Linked DNA regions of Drosophila melanogaster. The protein of the gene in region 2 purifies or fractionates together with the protein of the main gene of each other region. This does not show direct contact. Each region holds a gene or a part of one and is shown on either strand. Other genes may lie near its edges.

What was found.
Region 1: the proteins of Brca2 (region 2) and Rad9 purify together in Drosophila melanogaster (affinity purification with western blotting; 2 studies listed by BioGRID). This does not show direct contact.
Region 3: the proteins of Brca2 (region 2) and spn-A purify together in Drosophila melanogaster (affinity purification with western blotting; 2 studies listed by BioGRID, with this or other methods). This does not show direct contact.

Annotation. Positions count from the first base shown.
Region 1 is NT_037436.4:18,868,993-18,874,193, reverse strand, and holds Rad9 (Rad9), read left to right. Parts: upstream 1-1,640; 5' UTR 1,641-1,709; coding exon 1,710-1,743; intron 1,744-1,799; coding exon 1,800-2,026; intron 2,027-2,080; coding exon 2,081-2,232; intron 2,233-2,340; coding exon 2,341-3,196; coding exon of another isoform or gene 3,197-3,298; exon of another isoform or gene 3,299-3,341; coding exon of another isoform or gene 3,342-3,413; coding exon 3,414-3,515; coding exon of another isoform or gene 3,516-3,580; intron 3,581-3,633; coding exon of another isoform or gene 3,634-3,766; intron 3,767-3,823; coding exon of another isoform or gene 3,824-3,886; 3' UTR 3,887-4,149; downstream 4,150-5,201. Other genes in the region: Uggt (UDP-glucose-glycoprotein glucosyltransferase), read right to left, coding at 1-832, 1,016-1,244; Blos3 (biogenesis of lysosome-related organelles complex 1, subunit 3), read right to left, coding at 3,342-3,580, 3,634-3,766, 3,824-3,886; Grx1 (glutaredoxin 1), read right to left, coding at 4,222-4,317, 4,383-4,487, 4,548-4,691. UniProt on the Drosophila melanogaster protein: Component of the Rad9-Rad1-Hus1 (9-1-1) checkpoint clamp complex.
Region 2 is NT_033778.4:24,522,595-24,531,118, reverse strand, and holds Brca2 (BRCA2, DNA repair associated), read right to left. Parts: upstream 4,948-8,524; 5' UTR 4,819-4,947; coding exon 4,074-4,818; intron 4,014-4,073; coding exon 3,942-4,013; intron 3,883-3,941; coding exon 1,784-3,882; 3' UTR 1,566-1,783; downstream 1-1,565. Other genes in the region: CG4612 (uncharacterized protein), read left to right, coding at 5,647-6,345, 6,577-6,801. UniProt on the Drosophila melanogaster protein: Involved in and required for double-strand break repair by meiotic and mitotic homologous recombination. During meiosis, has a dual role in the repair of meiotic double-stranded breaks and the efficient activation of the meiotic recombination checkpoint.
Region 3 is NT_033777.3:30,053,644-30,057,592, reverse strand, and holds spn-A (spindle A), read left to right. Parts: upstream 1-1,555; 5' UTR 1,556-1,653; coding exon 1,654-1,731; exon of another isoform or gene 1,732-1,794; coding exon 1,795-2,727; 3' UTR 2,728-2,897; downstream 2,898-3,949. Other genes in the region: CG7950 (uncharacterized protein), read right to left, coding at 1-134; Rpp14a (ribonuclease P/MRP subunit p14 a), read right to left, coding at 150-453, 559-590; Rpp14b (ribonuclease P/MRP subunit p14 b), read right to left, coding at 1,038-1,344, 1,426-1,457; Jasper (JIL-1 anchoring and stabilizing protein), read right to left, coding at 3,288-3,949. UniProt on the Drosophila melanogaster protein: Plays an important role in homologous strand exchange, a key step in DNA repair through homologous recombination (HR). Binds to single and double-stranded DNA and exhibits DNA-dependent ATPase activity. Underwinds duplex DNA.

The DNA.
Region 1 (5,201 bases), on a different chromosome or scaffold from region 2:
GTAACCTTGTGGGCCAGCAGGGTTCTGGCCAACATGGGGAAATTATGGGCAGTATATTGAAGAATTTGTAGGGTTTCATCACCCTGTATTTCTGCAATAGCAGCGGCCGCCTGGAGACCCAAATCCTGGAACTCCCATGCTTTCAATTGGGCGATCTCATCGTTTCCCTGAAGAAGCCTCTGACGCAGTTGATCCAGCGCTCTCTTAAGTGTAGGATGCTTCTGCTTCAGCACCTTGAAATCAAAGCCCTGGACGTCCGATTCATTAGCCAAATCCTCATCAGAAGTGGAACCAGCTTCGGGCTTTGGAGCATCATCCTGACTCTTGTATTCCGTTGACTTCAGATGGAGTTCCACTCCATAGCCCGAAAGTCGTACCGGTCGCTTGTCCTTCTTGGCCAATTGATGACGCAAGATGTAACGAATCCGGCCAGCATTGGCTTCCTTTTCCAATAGTTTGTGATAGGTGCGGAATTGAGAGCTTCCCAAATCGCCGTATAGTACCACAGTGCGGGTATTGTTCTCACTGCCAGGGAAAATGTGATCAAAGCTGTAGGTGACAACAGAAGCATCCAAGCTATCCTTGGCGAGCGGCACTTCCAGCTTCTTCTGCAGCTCGTTAAAGCTGCAGGCCAGTTCGGAACCCACCTGGGCAAAAGTAAAGCTCTGACAAGAGCCACTGCTCCTCAGTTCCTCGGCCAACTGGAAGTGGGTCTGGATCCGGGGCGTCAAGCTATGCATGGATACCACCAGCCTAAGCAGGGGCAATTGGGGAGAACTCACATGGCTCTTGACCAGCTCCAAGGCGGCATTGTACTGTTGCGACTCGGTATCTGAAAAGCGAAAACGTAATCAGAAAAATAAATTACCCTTTGGGAAAAGATCACATTATAGGGCTTTGGGAATAGGTGATTTTATATTCCGAACCATTACTTGATTTTATATGGATTCGATTCACATTGAGGAGAATATAAAAGCTCTTTAATGCGGGTTCTCCATGACTTATAAACACAAACCATATTCGTTGAGAACCGTGTCCAACTTGGTCACCCCCGAAACGTAATCCCAGAAGAGGCCCGCCTGCTCATCGGCCAGATACTCGGCGATTTCCAGATATAGGGGCGTCTGCGTCCATTTCGCGTTGATTAGCGTGGTGATGGGATAGCTCTGACTGGATTCCCCAGAAGTTGGCGTATATAGTGCTATGAGCACCACAGACACACACAAAGCCACGGCACGTAACATGGTTTCCACTTGTTTTAACGTAGATTAAACCACGCACATTACGTATACTAAGCGTAGAGAGGAACTTAAGGCTTTCCTTCTCCAAATATTTTACTTTTCACCAGTTTTCGGCTGGTTTTAGCCCAGTTTTTCTTAATTTGATTTAGAACTGATGTGGCGTTCGTTGATGAACCGGCATGCCGCAGTGTGACCAGACTACATTGGAACTACATCGGGTTGAAGAACTTATTTAAATTTATTTATTTTACGGACAATTGTCAATATGGAAATATTTTGCTTTAAATTATAAAAGAAATTATTGAAATATAAAAATAGTACATACTTACTTCAAAATGCATAAATGGGTAACTAAATTCCTTTGTTGGTATTTTTCATACCTGTTGTGCGACTACTATCACTCTAATTTGTTTGTTTACAAATTTCAGCGCGAATTTCGCGACCAAAAACATAGTGCAAATATTGCCAATGAAATACACTTTAGAGGGCAGCAATGCAAGAGGTACCACATAATAAACAGCAAAATATATTGATAACTAAAAGAATTCATTTTTTAAGTCATCGCCAAAGCCGTACAATCGCTGTCCAAGGTGGGCAAGGAGATGTTCATCGAGATCGACCAGCAATCCTTGCAGATGCGGGCCATAAATGCCACCCAATCCGCAGTGGGCAGCATATCGTTCAAAAGATCCATGTTCGAAGTGTATGACATGCCGCCGCACTCAGATTTCTACTGCAAGATCTCCATGAAGGGATGTTTGGCCGTGTTCCGCAACATGAATGAGGTAAGTTCGAAAGTCTGCTCACTGGGATTAGTTGTTAAGAATATTATGTTCCAGGTGGAGTACTGTGAACTCAACTTGCTGGACAACCAGACCAACCTGCAGGTGAATCTCCGCTGTAAGCTGGAGACCACAAAGGAGGCCACCATTTCCATCATAGACGACCAAAACATTAACACAAACATTAACACCGATCAGATGCCGAATATGTGAGTTTTGGTTTGTGTTAAGGATAACTATTAAGTTTATCTCCTTACCTTATTTCTCTTAAAACAACTATGCCCATATAAATCCGAATTTACTACTCAACATTTCAGAATCCGTGGCGATCACAAGCTGTTGACGGATATATCCAATAACTTTAACTCCTCAGAGGAGGAACTTACTTTGGAGGCAAACTCGGGCAGTGTGGTGGCCAAAAACTACATAGAAGGAGCCCGAGTTAATGATAAGTTCATGCGCACGCAGCTGAAACTTAAGCCCAGTGAATTTGAGCAGTACCAGGTAACGAAGGAGACGGTCATTACATTCTGCATTAAGGAATTCCGAGCATTTCTCCTCTTCGCCGAGTGCTTAAATGCTTCGCTGACCCTGGAGTTCGACGAAGCGGGCATGCCTTTCCTGCTCAAAATTAAGAAGCATGGCGAGATTGAATGCTTGCTGATCATGTCCACGCTATCCCCCGATGATATAAGCTTCTCGGAAGATTATTGTCAAAAGGATCTGACAGTGCAGGATGAGGATGTACGAGCGGCGGCCGCAAAGCGAAAGAGCAGCGTTTCGAAGCCGAATGTGACCAACAAACGCAAAGGCAGCTCTTCGGAACCGGCTGCAGTGCAGCCAAAACGGCGAGTTGAGGAGACCCAATTAGAATCGAGCCTAGATAATCCACTGTTTCAGTTCCGGGACTCGGAGGCGCCATCTGTTCAGCACCCTCGCATCCTAGCCGAGGTGGACACTGTGGTTCTGATTGAAGATGAGGCGGAACAAGAGGCTCTCATGCTGGCAGCCGCGGATGCCGCTTTGGAGGCCAGCATGGCACCTGCTCCAGAGCCGCCGAACAGCACGGAGGTTTGCTTTATCAACACAGACGACTCTCAACAACCTAAACCTGCGAAAAGCTCCTCCGACGAGGACGAAACTATACCCCAGTCACCTGAGCGCCCTAACAAGGTGCGAACCATCTTCTCACGTTGCTTTCAGAGGACCTACGTGCCGCGGGAGCCCTCACCCAACACTCAGGTCTATGCGCCCAATTCCGATACAGAGGATTAGCCTAGATTTGATCGTTTATCAGCAAATACACTATACGTCTAAGTCAGGTTGCCTTCTGGATGCTTATGTGCGGGAGGAAGTTGCTGGTAATAACATCAGCCACCCTGTTTTGCAGGTCCTGGGCGTTCTTCTGGGCCTGCTGCAGGGATGTGTGAGCCGACTGAAGACTATGTTGCGACTTGATGAGCATTTGATCAGTGGTTACGAGCTGCTTTGATGCACTCAACACAAAGCTGCGAGTGAAAGCGGTAAGGGATCTCCAAATGGCAATGTTGTTTTCGACTGGAAAAGGGCATTAAGTTGAAATGTTTGAAGGCACAGAATTGGTGACATACTTAGTTTCCGCTGAAGCAGATTATTCCGGTAAATGGAAGCCGTGCTGTTGACCTGGTTGCTGCTTCGGCCTTGCTCGTAAATGTCTTCATCATCCTCTTCGGAGGCTTCGCCCGAAATTTCAGCAGCAAAAATCTGTCACAAAATGGTTTTATTATTGGACTGTTATTTATAAATGATATCCTCAACAACCTTATTCTTCTCCTGCAGCTCCTCGTCGGATTCAGAAGCTTCACCGCTCACCAAATCAGCCATCATTCAGTTTATTAAATACTATTGTAAACAATTTTTTATTTACTGCAGTTACGGCGCTGCCAGATCAGTTAAAACTGCAAACTGTTGCTCACATGGGCGCAGTTGAAGGGGATATTCTTATGTTTGTGATATCTATGCTAACAGATCCGTAGAACTACAATCATAAAAATTATTAACGGATAATGAATGGTATTAGTAACACTTTGCCCATTACTCAGAAGACGATGTAATCTCAATAAGCGCAAAACATAAATTTTAAAAGCATTTATTAAGGACTTTGAAGATTAACAAACTTTTTACATAAAACGGAGTTCTGAACAGAGTAAGAACACTATTTATTGGAAATATTTTTGCAGAGCTCCTGTCTCGAACATTCGTTTGATGTCAGTGCCACCGCCAATGAATTTGCCATCGATAAAGACGCGGGGAACCTACACAGTACACAGGTTACAAATGATAATTAATCTTTATAATGTAAAATATTTAGTGCACCCACCGTTCTGGCACCGGTAATCTCGCCCAGAACTGCCTGAATTTCGTTGCCATCGGGATTTCCATCGAGTTCTATTATGGTGGCGTCCACATTGAGCTTTTTGAAGGGCTGGAACGCAAAGATGTTTATCACTGTTTGGGACTTTTCAAGGTCTCGCAACTTTCTCACCTCTTTGGCCATCGTGCAGTAGGGACAGTAGGTCTTGCTGAATATCACCACTTTGTTGCTGGCAATGGTGTTTTCAACGAATTTCGCCTGCTTGGTGGACATGTCGACTATTGGGGATCTCAAAGCGGATCCAACTGCACCCATAAGCTCGAAATCCAGGAGGGGGTACGGAAACTTGGGGGGCAATGCGGGGAGCAATGAAAGCTGCGACAAGTGTAAGCTGCGGAGAATTATCTCTAATTTAATCAGTTTTTTAATCATTGATTAGCAATCAGCTGTTGTTGCTCTCGCCAGAGCTGCCACGTTGTGAAATTACCATCTCGTAATCATAAACATGTTTAATATTTAATTTAATTTCCATATAATCATGCTAAGTTTAAGGAATCTATTATTGTGTGTCTATTAAGAAAAGAGAAAATCGACTGTTATAAAAACAATGTTTATTCAGCGCTGTCAAAACATGCAGTGACGGTGCCACATCAACAAATTTCATATACACTAGGGGGATTCCTGAAAATTCACTTTTACTTTGACTTCATTATTTGAAACTTATATTAAATTTGCCTATATTTTGTCCGAGATAGTAAAGCAATTTTGAAATTACTTTAACAAATTATGTTAAAATGCCTTGTATGTTAAAATAATTTGGCATTG
Region 2 (8,524 bases):
CCACCTCAGAGATACTCCACAAATTGGACTCGCCGAGAATTTTACTCTCCTCCAACTCGAGGGAAGCTAGAGATCTTAGAATTCGGGGAAACTTCACAGAGAGTACCCTTATCATAGTAAGTGTAATGGATTCAGATCTGAATCCACTGGTTGCCAGTCTTCTGCCACGCTTGTTGGACGAGCTCCATGAGCTGCACATAGTGTTCCTGAGCAATGAGGAACCAGGATTTCCGAAACAGGACCTCTACACCTACTGCTTCAAGGAGGGATTCGTAAATGTAATTCTGATGAGCGGAAAGGGCCTCTACAGCTACCTACCGTATCCTAGCATTCAACCGATCAGCCTATCAAATGTGTCCGAGTATTTCGATCGCGCAAGGATAATTCGAAACTTTCAAGGCTTTCCTGTCCGCATACTTCGAAGCACATTAGCTCCTCGGGACTTTGAGTACTCCAACGAACAGGGTGGCTTGGTGCGAGCAGGATATTTGTTCACAGCGGTCAAGGAGCTGACTTATCGCTATAACGCCACCATCGAGAGTGTACCCATACCCGATCTGCCGGAATATGATGTATACTTGGCCGTTGCTGAAATGCTACATACAAAAAAGATCGACATTGTTTGCTACTTCAAAGATTTCAGCTTGGAAGTGGCCTACACAGCACCACTTTCGATTATCCGCGAGTACTTCATGGCTCCCCACGCCCGTCCGATTTCCAGTTATCTGTACTACTCCAAGCCCTTCGGCTGGACCCTTTGGGCGGTCGTGATTTCGACTGTCTTGTACGGAACCGTAATGCTGCATCTGGCTGCGCGAGGAGCACGAGTCGAGATTGGAAAGTGCTTGCTGTACAGCCTCAGCCACATCCTATACAACTGCCACCAGAAAATCAGAGTTGCTGGCTGGAGGGACGTGGCCATCCATGGCATTCTAACGATCGGAGGCTTTATACTGACCAACGTCTACTTGGCCACGCTCTCCAGCATCCTCACATCCGGGCTGTACGACGAGGAGTACAACACTCTGGAGGATCTGGCCAGGGCTCCCTACCCCAGTCTGCACGACGAGTACTACAGAAGTCAGATGAAGGCGAAAACCTTCCTGCCCGAACGGCTCCGCAGGAACAGCTTGAGCTTGAACGCCACCCTGCTAAAGGCGTACCGGGATGGGCTCAATCAGAGCTACATATACATATTGTACGAGGACCGCCTGGAGCTGATCCTGATGCAGCAGTACCTGCTGAAGACGCCGCGCTTCAACATGATTCGCCAGGCCGTGGGTTTTACCCTCGAATCCTACTGCGTGTCCAACAGTCTGCCGTACTTGGCGATGACCAGTGAGTTCATGAGGCGCCTGCAGGAGCACGGGATCAGCATCAAAATGAAGGCGGACACTTTCCGGGAGCTCATCCATCAGGGAATCTATACCTTGATGCGCGATGATGAGCCGCCGGCTAAGGCATTCGACCTGGACTACTACTTTTTCGCATTTGTTTTGTGAACTGTGGGACTGATTTCGTCTCTTCTCGTTTTTTTCGCGGAACTCGTAAGTGGGCACCTTTAAGGAAGTTGGTTAGCGGGTGGCCCTTATCGGATCGTTTATTTCCTTATAAGGTGCACTTAACAAAAAACGCTTATTATGATAACTTATACAATTATTCAATCTGTCATGATGAGACCACTAATGGCATACCTTAATTAATTCAACTAAATCTCTACCCATTTCAAATCGGCCAGCGGTTTAAATATTTTGGGTATAAAGCAACGCTTACTTAATGTGTACTAATAGCGACTTCGACTCAGACCAAGTCTTCGACTCTTTTTGGGTTGCATGCAAATAGGGGACATGTCCTCCGCATCCTGTCTATTCTTTGTACAGTCCTTGGAGCGATTTAAGTCCCTGTCGGCCAGCGGAGTACTTGTCGAGGAAGGCTTGGGAGCGAATCGCTCCATAGTGGGTAAGGCGCAGGAAGTGGAAGTTTCAGTTGACAAAATGATCTTTCGCTTTCTTTTTAGTGACAGGAGGTTCCGGCGAGCTATTACGGACTTCTTGGTGGCCTGGTCCAGTGGTGATTTGCCGGCAAGTTGCGATAGTGAGGAGTGGATCTCCTGCGACCTTCTGGGTGTCCTCACCAATGGCTGGCTACACAGCGGATGCTCTTCCTTTGCAGAATGCTCCACGAAGAAGTCGTGTTTGAAATGCTCAATATCTGAGGTATTTTTTAGACTTTGTACATTGCAAAAAGTTGGCTTGTTGGCACTGTCTTCTGCCGCCGCTTCATCTACGAACTTGGCATCAATATTTCTCGATTCCTCAGAGATCACAGTTGGTTGGTTCGAGTCAGTGCTTGCATCGGCGGCTTGAAATTCACTCATGAACTGTGCAACTTTGATTTTCGTATTTTCCGAAATCACAATTCCTTTATTTGAAGCGGTACGAAAGCCGAAGAATTCGGTCTCAGATACGGTTTTAGTATTCACAGCCTTATTATTTTCAACATTTATTGAATGAATCTCATTGTTTGGAGAGGTGGGTAGAACATCAGGAAAATCGCTTGGCTGCCACCCGTTTAATTGGTCTGTAGCTTTAGACTGGGCCAGAAACATGGCTCCTCTCTTCTCCATCGCCTCGGTAATCTCAATGGCTTTGTTTGACGCTGTTCTAAAGCCGAAAAACTGTGATTCATTTAAGTCACGGCAAACTGGGTCAAGTGTGGGTTGATGCGGTTCCCGCATTGTAGTATCAACGACCACCAACTTGGAAGCTTTCGATCGCATTTCCTCTGAACTCTCTATTGATCTTTTTAAGGCTGTATCAAGTCCAACAGACGTCGGTTTGTCATTTGGCTGATGGACTAAATAATCATTTTGTTGAATTGTTTCTTTGGATTGAAACTCAGCCATAAACTCTGCAGTTTTGATTTTCATCTTCTCAGAAATCGGAATTGCCTTATTTGAGGCTGTGCGAAAGCCACAAAACTCGGGCTCTGCTATAGTATCGTTATTGAGAGGACTGAATTTTCCATTTATTTCTCCAACGTCAACTTTAGCTATTGCATTGTAGGTTTCCTTACCATCCAATATTTCGATGGGCTTGCTTGGGGCTGATTTGAATTCCGCACACTGTGTTGATTCCATTACTTGACTATGATTATCGGAGTATTCCTCAGTACGTAAGTTGCACTTGTGACTAAAGTGATATAGGCCGGATACAACTTTGTCTACAAACTCTTCGCCTTTAATTTTCATTTCTTCCGAAACCTCGATAAATTTGAAGGACTTCTTTCGAATGCCATTAAGTTGATGACTGCTTATGGTCTGACTTTTATTAGGAGTCTGCTTTTCTGGTTGCTCCTTGTCGTCCAGATTTATTGAATTGATGTTTTCTTTAGGCCCTTGAATTGCGTTTTTGGAGGTTGATGGGCCATTAGAGCACTGCATTGGTTGCCAATCATTAAAAAGAAACTCCTCAAGAAGCTCGCCGTCGTTCAATAGGTTTTCTTGCTCTGCAGCATTAGGCTGATCCAGAATAGTAGTTCCTTCGTTTTTCGTGTTAATATCACAAGATTGTTTTGAGGCTCCTCTAACCTTTGATGCATTTGAATCTTTGCTACTTTTTTGTTCTTTCTGGGAACTTGGCTCCAACTTTAACTTTTTATCGGGTATATGTTTGATTACATCTTTGGAGATCTCGGGCAGTTCCATCGGAGTTAGCCATTCACTTAGTGGTATGCCTTCTAATATGAAGTTTGTGTTCTCCTCTATGTCAACATTTTTTGCTTGCGTTTGGCCCATCAAAAGTTTCTTATTTTCAGCAATTTCGACATCAGCTTTTTTCAATGTAGAGTCTGCATCAGACCAAACATTACGTTTTCCACTTTCTATAAATAAGGGTTTATATTAATGAACTTCGCAACAACATAAATTGCATATGAATTACCCAATCGGAGGCGCGTAGTGGGAACCGATTGCATGCTATCGCCATAAATAGTGTCTGCCATAGTTCCTGGACCTACGTACATATAAAAGGAGTTACAAATGTGTTTCTTGCCATATCGATCCCACTCCCTACCTTCCTGCTCATGCTCATTTTCATAGAAAGAGGCCTCAAATGTAAATCCGCTCTGCAACAGGTCATCCCTCAAGTTCTCCAATTCAGCGTTGAAACACTCGTCACCAGAATCCTGCCTTGCTTCGGTTGGCAGATCTATTTGCGATGGGACAGGAGTCGGACCGGAAGCTGTCGCGGTCGCGGAAAAGTATTGACTGAGGTTCAAAAGGACCTCGTGTATCTTCTGTGATGAAGCATCGAAATCACAAGCCATAGATGTGAACGAAGTATTGAGATCCCTCTGCACGGAGAGGCCTGAGGAACCTCTACGCTTCTCGTTTTGAACGGCCTTGTGGCTTTTGGGATCCCTCTTCCGGCTGTAGGTTCTGATCCTTTTGTTGCGAAATCGAAACCACGGCTCCGACTCATGGCTGGGCTCATCCTCATCCTCTGCGTATGTTGGAGACGAGCAAAAGTCGCTCATGATCATCTCGACCTGGTCCTCGGGCGTGGGCTCTGCGTAGGACAAAATAAGATCCTCCACGGCGACGAAGTCGCTGTTGTCCACCGCAAGCCGCTCGTGACCCCGAGTCCGTCGAGCGATGGCGAAAGTCTGGCGATCGGCTTCGCATATTTTGGCCATTTCGTCGATAATGTTACTCCGATTTGCCGCCGCGGAAACTGTGGCGCCACGTTCGCGCGCATGGGCTCCTCTTCCTTGGGATAGCCTGTTCGGATGACTTCCCGATGCGCCATTCTGGTCCATCACGTCATCTAATTGTTTAAATGTGTTTTATTTGAAGTAAGCAAGTGTCCAATGCTTTTGTGGTTGCATTTCCAAAACAAGGGGTGCAGTGTTGGTAAGCGTTGCTTTGATGGCCATTATCCGCTAACTGTGGAGGGTGGACTTGCTAAGCAATCGGGAGCGAGAAAGTCATCGATGGTATGGCCAAGAACATGAAGGCCTCACGTATCGATGGCAGATGCATCGATGTTTTTTAACATCACTAATCACTAGTAGCGACAGTTTTTGCATAAAATACAATTAAATAATAAAGGGCCATCGCCGAAGCTGCAAAAACCAGGTTTTACACTGCTGCAATTGCTGAAGAGTCTAGTTTAGGTGCCACTCGAAAACAATACCGGAAAGTGTTACGCGAAAGCCCAGCAGAGCCCCAAAGAATCAGCCCAAAAGTGAAAGCCCCCAGAAAAAGTAAAGTACAAAAGAGCGAAAGGAAGAGCCAGAGAGGTAAAGAAAGAGAGAGCGAAGAGCGTTGAAAAGAGTCTGTGCGAGAGAAAAACGATTTTTTCAACTCCGCGAATCCTTGGTCATATTCCGTGTGCAAATCCTGGTAAGTGGGCATTCCGCTGGATTACGACTAGATTGGCCATAACGCAGATTCCCGACATCCCAGGTAAATCGGGAAGTGAAGTGAAATACTAGGACCAGGACAAGAACGCCGTCAAGATTCTCGGGCCCATCTACAGCGGTATCCAGATCCAGAGCCACGGCCACCAGGACGCAGAATCCACCTACAGCACCTACAGCACTCCACTAGCCGCCACCACGCTCCACAAACAGCCAGCAGCCATTATGTTCGTCAACTCCATGACGTTCCGCGGCAATCCGGCGAACTACCACCAGCAGCAGCCGGCCCTGAACCACCACACGCTGGCAGCGGCGCACCACCAGCAGCAGCTGCACCACCACGCCGCTGCAGCTGGTCACCTGAGCCACGTCGGCGGTGGGCACGCAGCCAGTAACCACCTGGCGGCCGCCGCTGTTCTCGGACGGCATGGCCACAACTCCCTGGGCAGCGGGCACACGTCCACGTCCTCGCACTCGGCCAATGTGGGCGTGGGAGTCGGCGGGGGAGCTCTGGCTAGCGGCTCCACTGGGGGCAGCGGAGGCAACAGCTCTCCGGACAGTGGCAAGATCTATATCAAGAACCTGGAGCGGTCCATCGACAACAAGGCGGTGTACGACACGTTCTCGGTGTTCGGAAACATCCTAAACTGCAATGTGGCCAAAGACGAGGATGGCAATTCACGCGGCTATGGGTTTGTGCATTTCGATTCGGAGGAGGCCGCCCGAGCGGCCATCGAGAAGGTGAATGGGATGCTGTGCAATAATCAGAAGGTGCATGTGGTCAAGTTCATACCACGGCGGGACCGGGAGCAGGAGAAGGCCACGCACTTCAAGAATCTGTATGTGAAGAACCTCAGCGAGGAGTTCACCGAGCAGCATTTGCGCGAGATGTTCGAGCCCTACGGCCGCATCACCAGTCACAAGGTACGTTGTTTGGTCACCTCATCTTCCCTACGGGGATGTTCGTGGGGCCGGGTGGTTGGACGACAACCATGTGGCACAGTTTTGCACTCTCTTAAGTCCTCTCTTGCGCCATTGCTGCGCATGCCCATGTAGCCACGAGGAGTTTGTGACGGCGGGGAAGATGAGGACTCCACCTGGCCCATCTGTGCTAATTTGTTTATATCATCGATTTGCTTTCTCCGATCCTTGCAGCTCATGCTGGACGAGGAGGGGCGCTCCCGGCGTTTCGGTTTCGTCGCCTACGAGAACCCACAGTCGGCGCTGGCCGCCGTAATTGGCCTGCACGGCAAGCAGCTGGGCGACAACAAGTTCTTGTACGTGGCAAGAGCCCTCAGCAAGGCCGAGCGGCAGCAGGAGATCAATCGCAAGCTGGAGGAGCGCAAGCGGCAGAAGGCCGGCCAGATATTCTACTACTAAGGCTTCGGCGGCGGCAGCTGATCCAAGGACATCGCTAGGAGTTGACTTGGAACCCACACACATACAATACACACCCATATATAAACCTATATAGATATTTACGAGAAATTGTATCGAGCAGCTAGGCGGACATTCAGGCAGCAGACGGACGGGAGGCAGCTCCTTCGCATATACACTTAGATGTAGGCAAAAGTCTTGCAACACAGTTGAAATTTATAGAAAGAACACAGGGCAGAAACAAAGGGAGGGAGAGGCAGAAAACGAGCTCTCAACCGAAAGGATTTTCTAGGCATTAGGACAACAATTTCTTAGCACTCACTAGCGTTTTTTTGGAATTAGATGTTTGTCTTTACTGTTGAATTTAGTGAGCAGGGGCTTTGCTGTCAGCTTCTCGCCTAAAGAACACATTGCGTACACACACGTATTTCGAAATGTATTTACCCACACAAGGCCAACTTTCACACTGGCCCCTTGGCATTAAGTCTAGATCGTGCGATCGCAACTAGAGCTACGCCCAGCTCAGTCCTGGGCAACATATGAATATTTACACTTACCTAATATATATGTATTAAAACCAAACTAAACCAAGAAACAAAGCAAAACGAAAACAAACAAAAAAAGAACAAAAAACAAAATGGAAAAACGGAAAAAATACAATTGATGTAACCCCTATTAACAAGTGAAGCACCCACTCCACGTATATACATAACATATACATATATCTAATGTAACTCCACACGCTGTAGTTAGAAAGCGTTTATAATACTCACAACTCCCTACGCTATAACTAAACTTTTGACGAGGAAATCAAGTGCAACCATTGCGAAAGCGAACCCTACACGTAATTTATAGAGTAGACGCCGATGCGGACGAGGAATAGGTCAGAGCTGGAGAGGAGAGATCCGATATGGAATTAGCAGGGGCCCAGCGCCTATCCTGCGGACAGTACATGAGTATTAAAATTTTAGCGATTACAAGACATTTTTGTAATTAATTGTACATTGTTTCAAGTAGCAGAAACTAAAGTGAAACCACAAAACAGGACAGCAAGACAGTAACGACCGTAATGTAACGTGAACAAGATGAAAGTGAAAAACTAATTGAATGTAACCAATCCAAGAAGAAGTGTACACAGTGCAATGTTTAAATCTTTTAGAATATTATTATGGATACAAGGCACGAAAGAAATCGCAAAATCGAAATAATTCAAAGCACGCTGTATGTAGGCAGGCGTGTGTACAAGTTTGAAATGAAAGCAAATACATGCATAATTTAAGATTATTGAGCTTAATTTTTAAAGTGTTTCCGAGAACAGAAAACGAGAGCAAAGTGAAAAGTAAGAGGAAATTATTAAGATACCCTACAACGCTAAACTCACTCGAAATTTGTAAGATTCAAGTTTTGCGTCTAGACATATACACAATGTATAGTTAAACAGTACCACACACAAAAGAGGAAAATTAAACGACATAAAATAGTTATAACGATGGCAATATTTAGGATGGCATAATTAACGAACCCTCATTTGACCATATTTATTTCCATTACACTTCATTTTGAGCTTAGGTTGCCCGCTCCCCGGGGAGCTGGCGATGTTACGACTCTAGTTTCCAGGACAAAGTAGGATTAGGCCTCCACAGTGTAACTCACACAGAACATATGCAATATGAATTTACAAGACAAGCAGGAGAAATTACGCAATTGAATAATATTTACACGAATG
Region 3 (3,949 bases), on a different chromosome or scaffold from region 2:
TTGCCGTCCTTGGTGATCACGCCCTCCGGCTTTTCCGGCGGCGGCAGCTCGATGGTGCTGGGCGTGGCATGGTCCTCCTTGGTCACAAAAATCACCTTGTCCTTGCCGTACTCCTTGCAGTAAGAGAATGACATCCTGATGCGGTAATGCTAGTTAAATGCTACAAACTCCTCGGGGGATTCCTCAAAATCCAAGGGCTTTCGGGATGTGCTGAGCACCTGAAAATGGCAGGGCACCTCCTGGTAGTATCCTATTAGGGCTATAGCTACGCGAACGCGATCCAGGACGTTCTCGGGCACCCGGAGAATGGAGCGTTTTTGGCTGGAACTAAATTTCACAATTTCCAGTATGGTCTGGCCACCTATTTCGCCAAAAATACTAGCCAAGGAGCTATGGATGCAGCCACAGAAGAATACGGGCGTCAGAGTCACGGAGTCTGGATCACGGAGTTTTCTGGCGATTAAAAACGTGAATTATCTTAATTATATTTGCATGATGCACGTGCGCACGTGGGAAATACGGGGCTTTAAGGAGCGGGGCTGAGTGCCCGGAACTCACATCTTCACGTCCAGATATTGGTAACCACTCATGCTTTGGGTGCAAGTGCCAGTGCCCCTCTTTTTTTGGCGGAATCTTCGGGAAAAGTCGTCCAAAAGTTGCCGGTCAGTGTGTTTTTTTTATGTAATTACTCCCCTTTTTTGCTGTTTCTTTCTGCTTCTCAAACAGCTGTGCGCCGCCAGAGATGCCAGCTCGGCTCACAACGGACATGAGTAGTTATAAAATAGCTAAAATTATAGCCATTTATTAAAACATTTAAATTGTTATTGGAACTACTTAAATGCAATTTTATTAAAATGGTTACAAGTTTATGGGGTTTTTCCGCTTTTTAATCTCATTTAGTAGCCATCACAGAAATCATTTCAGTTCGTTGTGAATGACAAAAAAATCAGATCACAGTAAAATCAGTTAGGATTCAAATTCAAATTCTTCATGACGGTTATAATGTATATTACACTGAGTATTACAATTCGCTAGTCCTAATCATCGGACACAACCGCGACAGTCTTTTCAATGCTCTTCTCAAAGTCCAGCGATGATTTGGATGTTTCCAAGATCTCAAAATGACAGGGTATCTGCTGGTAGTGACCGATGAGCTCAATGGATATGCGGGTCATGTCGTGCAGTTGCTCTGGCACTCGAAAGATAACACGATGTTGCTGGGCGCAGAACTTCACGATCTCCAGTGTGGGTTTCTCCTCGCAGAAGAAACTGTCCAGGGCGTCAAGAACGCAGCTTCGAAACAGAGATGGGGTCAAAGCAACTGCAGTCGGATCCCGAAGTTTACTATTAAATAAATGAATATATTTACTGAATTTAATAACAACCAAGTTTATATTAATGACCGCAGAACATCATTCTACTCACAGTTTGATGTCGAAATAGTAATAGTTCGCCATGGTGATCTTGCGCGTTCCTTTTAAGCGGGATCCTCTGTAGTGATAGAGTTTTGTGCGTTCGGGGCGATTGGCAAACTGATTTTGCAGTGAATTGCGCGCCGCGCAGTCTTTGTCGAAATTCTCTCACGCAAGACGTGCAATTTAAATAACGAAACTCGAAACAACAAATAGTCAAATTTAACTTCGAAACTGTCAAATGGAGAAGCTAACGAATGTTCAGGCACAGCAGGAAGAGGAGGAGGAAGAAGGTCCACTCAGCGTGACTAAGTTAATAGTGAGTAGGCTGCGATCTCGACCAGGATTATTATGGGCATTCCCTACGATATCCTCCTCCTAGGGCGGCAGCATCACGGCCAAGGACATCAAGCTGCTCCAGCAGGCCAGTCTGCACACCGTGGAGTCGGTGGCCAATGCCACCAAGAAGCAACTGATGGCCATTCCCGGCTTGGGCGGCGGCAAGGTGGAGCAGATCATCACGGAGGCTAACAAACTGGTGCCTCTGGGCTTCCTTAGTGCTCGCACCTTCTATCAAATGCGTGCCGATGTCGTGCAGCTGAGCACGGGCTCCAAGGAGCTGGATAAACTGCTGGGCGGCGGCATTGAGACGGGATCCATTACCGAGATCTTTGGCGAGTTCCGCTGCGGAAAGACCCAATTGTGCCACACTCTGGCAGTAACCTGCCAGCTGCCCATCAGCCAGAAGGGCGGCGAGGGCAAGTGCATGTACATCGACACGGAGAACACCTTCCGTCCGGAGCGTTTGGCTGCCATCGCGCAAAGGTACAAACTGAATGAATCCGAGGTGCTGGACAATGTGGCCTTCACCCGTGCCCACAACTCAGATCAGCAGACCAAGCTCATCCAGATGGCGGCGGGCATGCTCTTTGAGTCCAGATACGCTTTGCTGATTGTGGACAGTGCCATGGCGCTCTACAGATCCGATTATATTGGTCGCGGGGAGCTGGCCGCCAGGCAAAACCATTTGGGCTTATTTCTGCGCATGCTTCAACGCCTGGCCGATGAGTTCGGAGTGGCTGTGGTAATTACTAACCAGGTTACTGCCTCGCTGGACGGCGCACCCGGCATGTTTGATGCCAAGAAGCCCATTGGCGGGCACATCATGGCCCACTCCTCAACCACGCGGCTGTATCTGCGCAAGGGTAAAGGCGAAACCCGCATCTGCAAGATCTACGACTCGCCCTGTTTGCCGGAATCGGAGGCCATGTTCGCCATTCTGCCGGATGGAATAGGAGACGCCAGGGAGAGCTAATTGTGCTCACTTATAGGTTAATTAATGCTAGGAATAGAGCTCCCTAACTTTCTAATGATTACTTATCCCTAGACTAAGAATTAAACTTCGTAGATTGTTTTTTTTTTTGTTTTAATGTTTACTTAGAATGTTTAGGATAACGACGAAATAAAACAGCCGTTGCGAATTGTATGTACCATCTATATTTAATTCAATATTATTCAAATCATCTACAAACTTAGAAAATATTTAGGGGTTTCGAAGCAAAAACCTTTTTTTTAGTCTGGTAATAAGCGGATGCAGCAGGAAAAGCCCCATCAGCGCAGCGTAACACGACATGCACCTGGCAGGCAAACAGAATTAAGGAATTTAGCTGAATTTTTAACCTAGAATTAAGCATAGCCCACTTGGCTCATCAAAACTTTGTCATCCAAAGCACGGTCTTTAAGTTGCCTGGTTTGTAACGCTTACGAGTAACTGCAAGAAAGAGGATTCTTGAAGATGTGTTTCAACTCAGCGGTTTGCGGTTTCCCATCCTACCTTATCATGTAATTGGTCCAGCAGAACTGGTCCTCGATCATTTACTGTGGAGCCGATCCGGCTGAAGCGGCGGCCTCCTTGGCCAAAACCAGGCTATTATATCCGCGCTCGTTCATCCCGACGCGAAGGTTTTCGTTGATATTTTTCGTATAGGTCTTGTAGATTTTTACCTTTTCGCAGAAGTCGATCCAAAAGTTGTCCTCGCTCTCGGGCTCCGGATTGAAGAGACTCTTGAAGCCATCGTATATGCCAGAGGAGACCTTGCGTATGGTCTGCGCCCTCTCCTTGAACTCCACCTCGTCGGACAGGTCCATTTTCCAGAGCTCCAGATTGCCCACATACCGGCGAAGTCGGCGCATTATGTCCACGCACTCCGGATTGCGCAGCAGCATCAACTTGGTGAACTCCACCTCCTTGAACTGCTCGAGGATCTCCAGGCATTTGCCCACATTGGCGCGCCGCAGGCCCAAACATTCGCGCAGCTGCTGGGAAAGTTGGATGAAGTCTCGCTCCATGAAGAGGGCATCCTCGTGCTCAATGAGCTCCTCGATGAATCGCAAAGCCTCCTGCTTGGGTATTTCGCTGCGTGTTGGCTCCACCACGATCCTATCGGGCATGGACTCCGGATTGATTTGGCCGCTCTCTAGTTTCAGTTTGAGCTCCAAGGCTTCTTTGCGGGCGTTCTCCATCCAGGCTTCCTCGG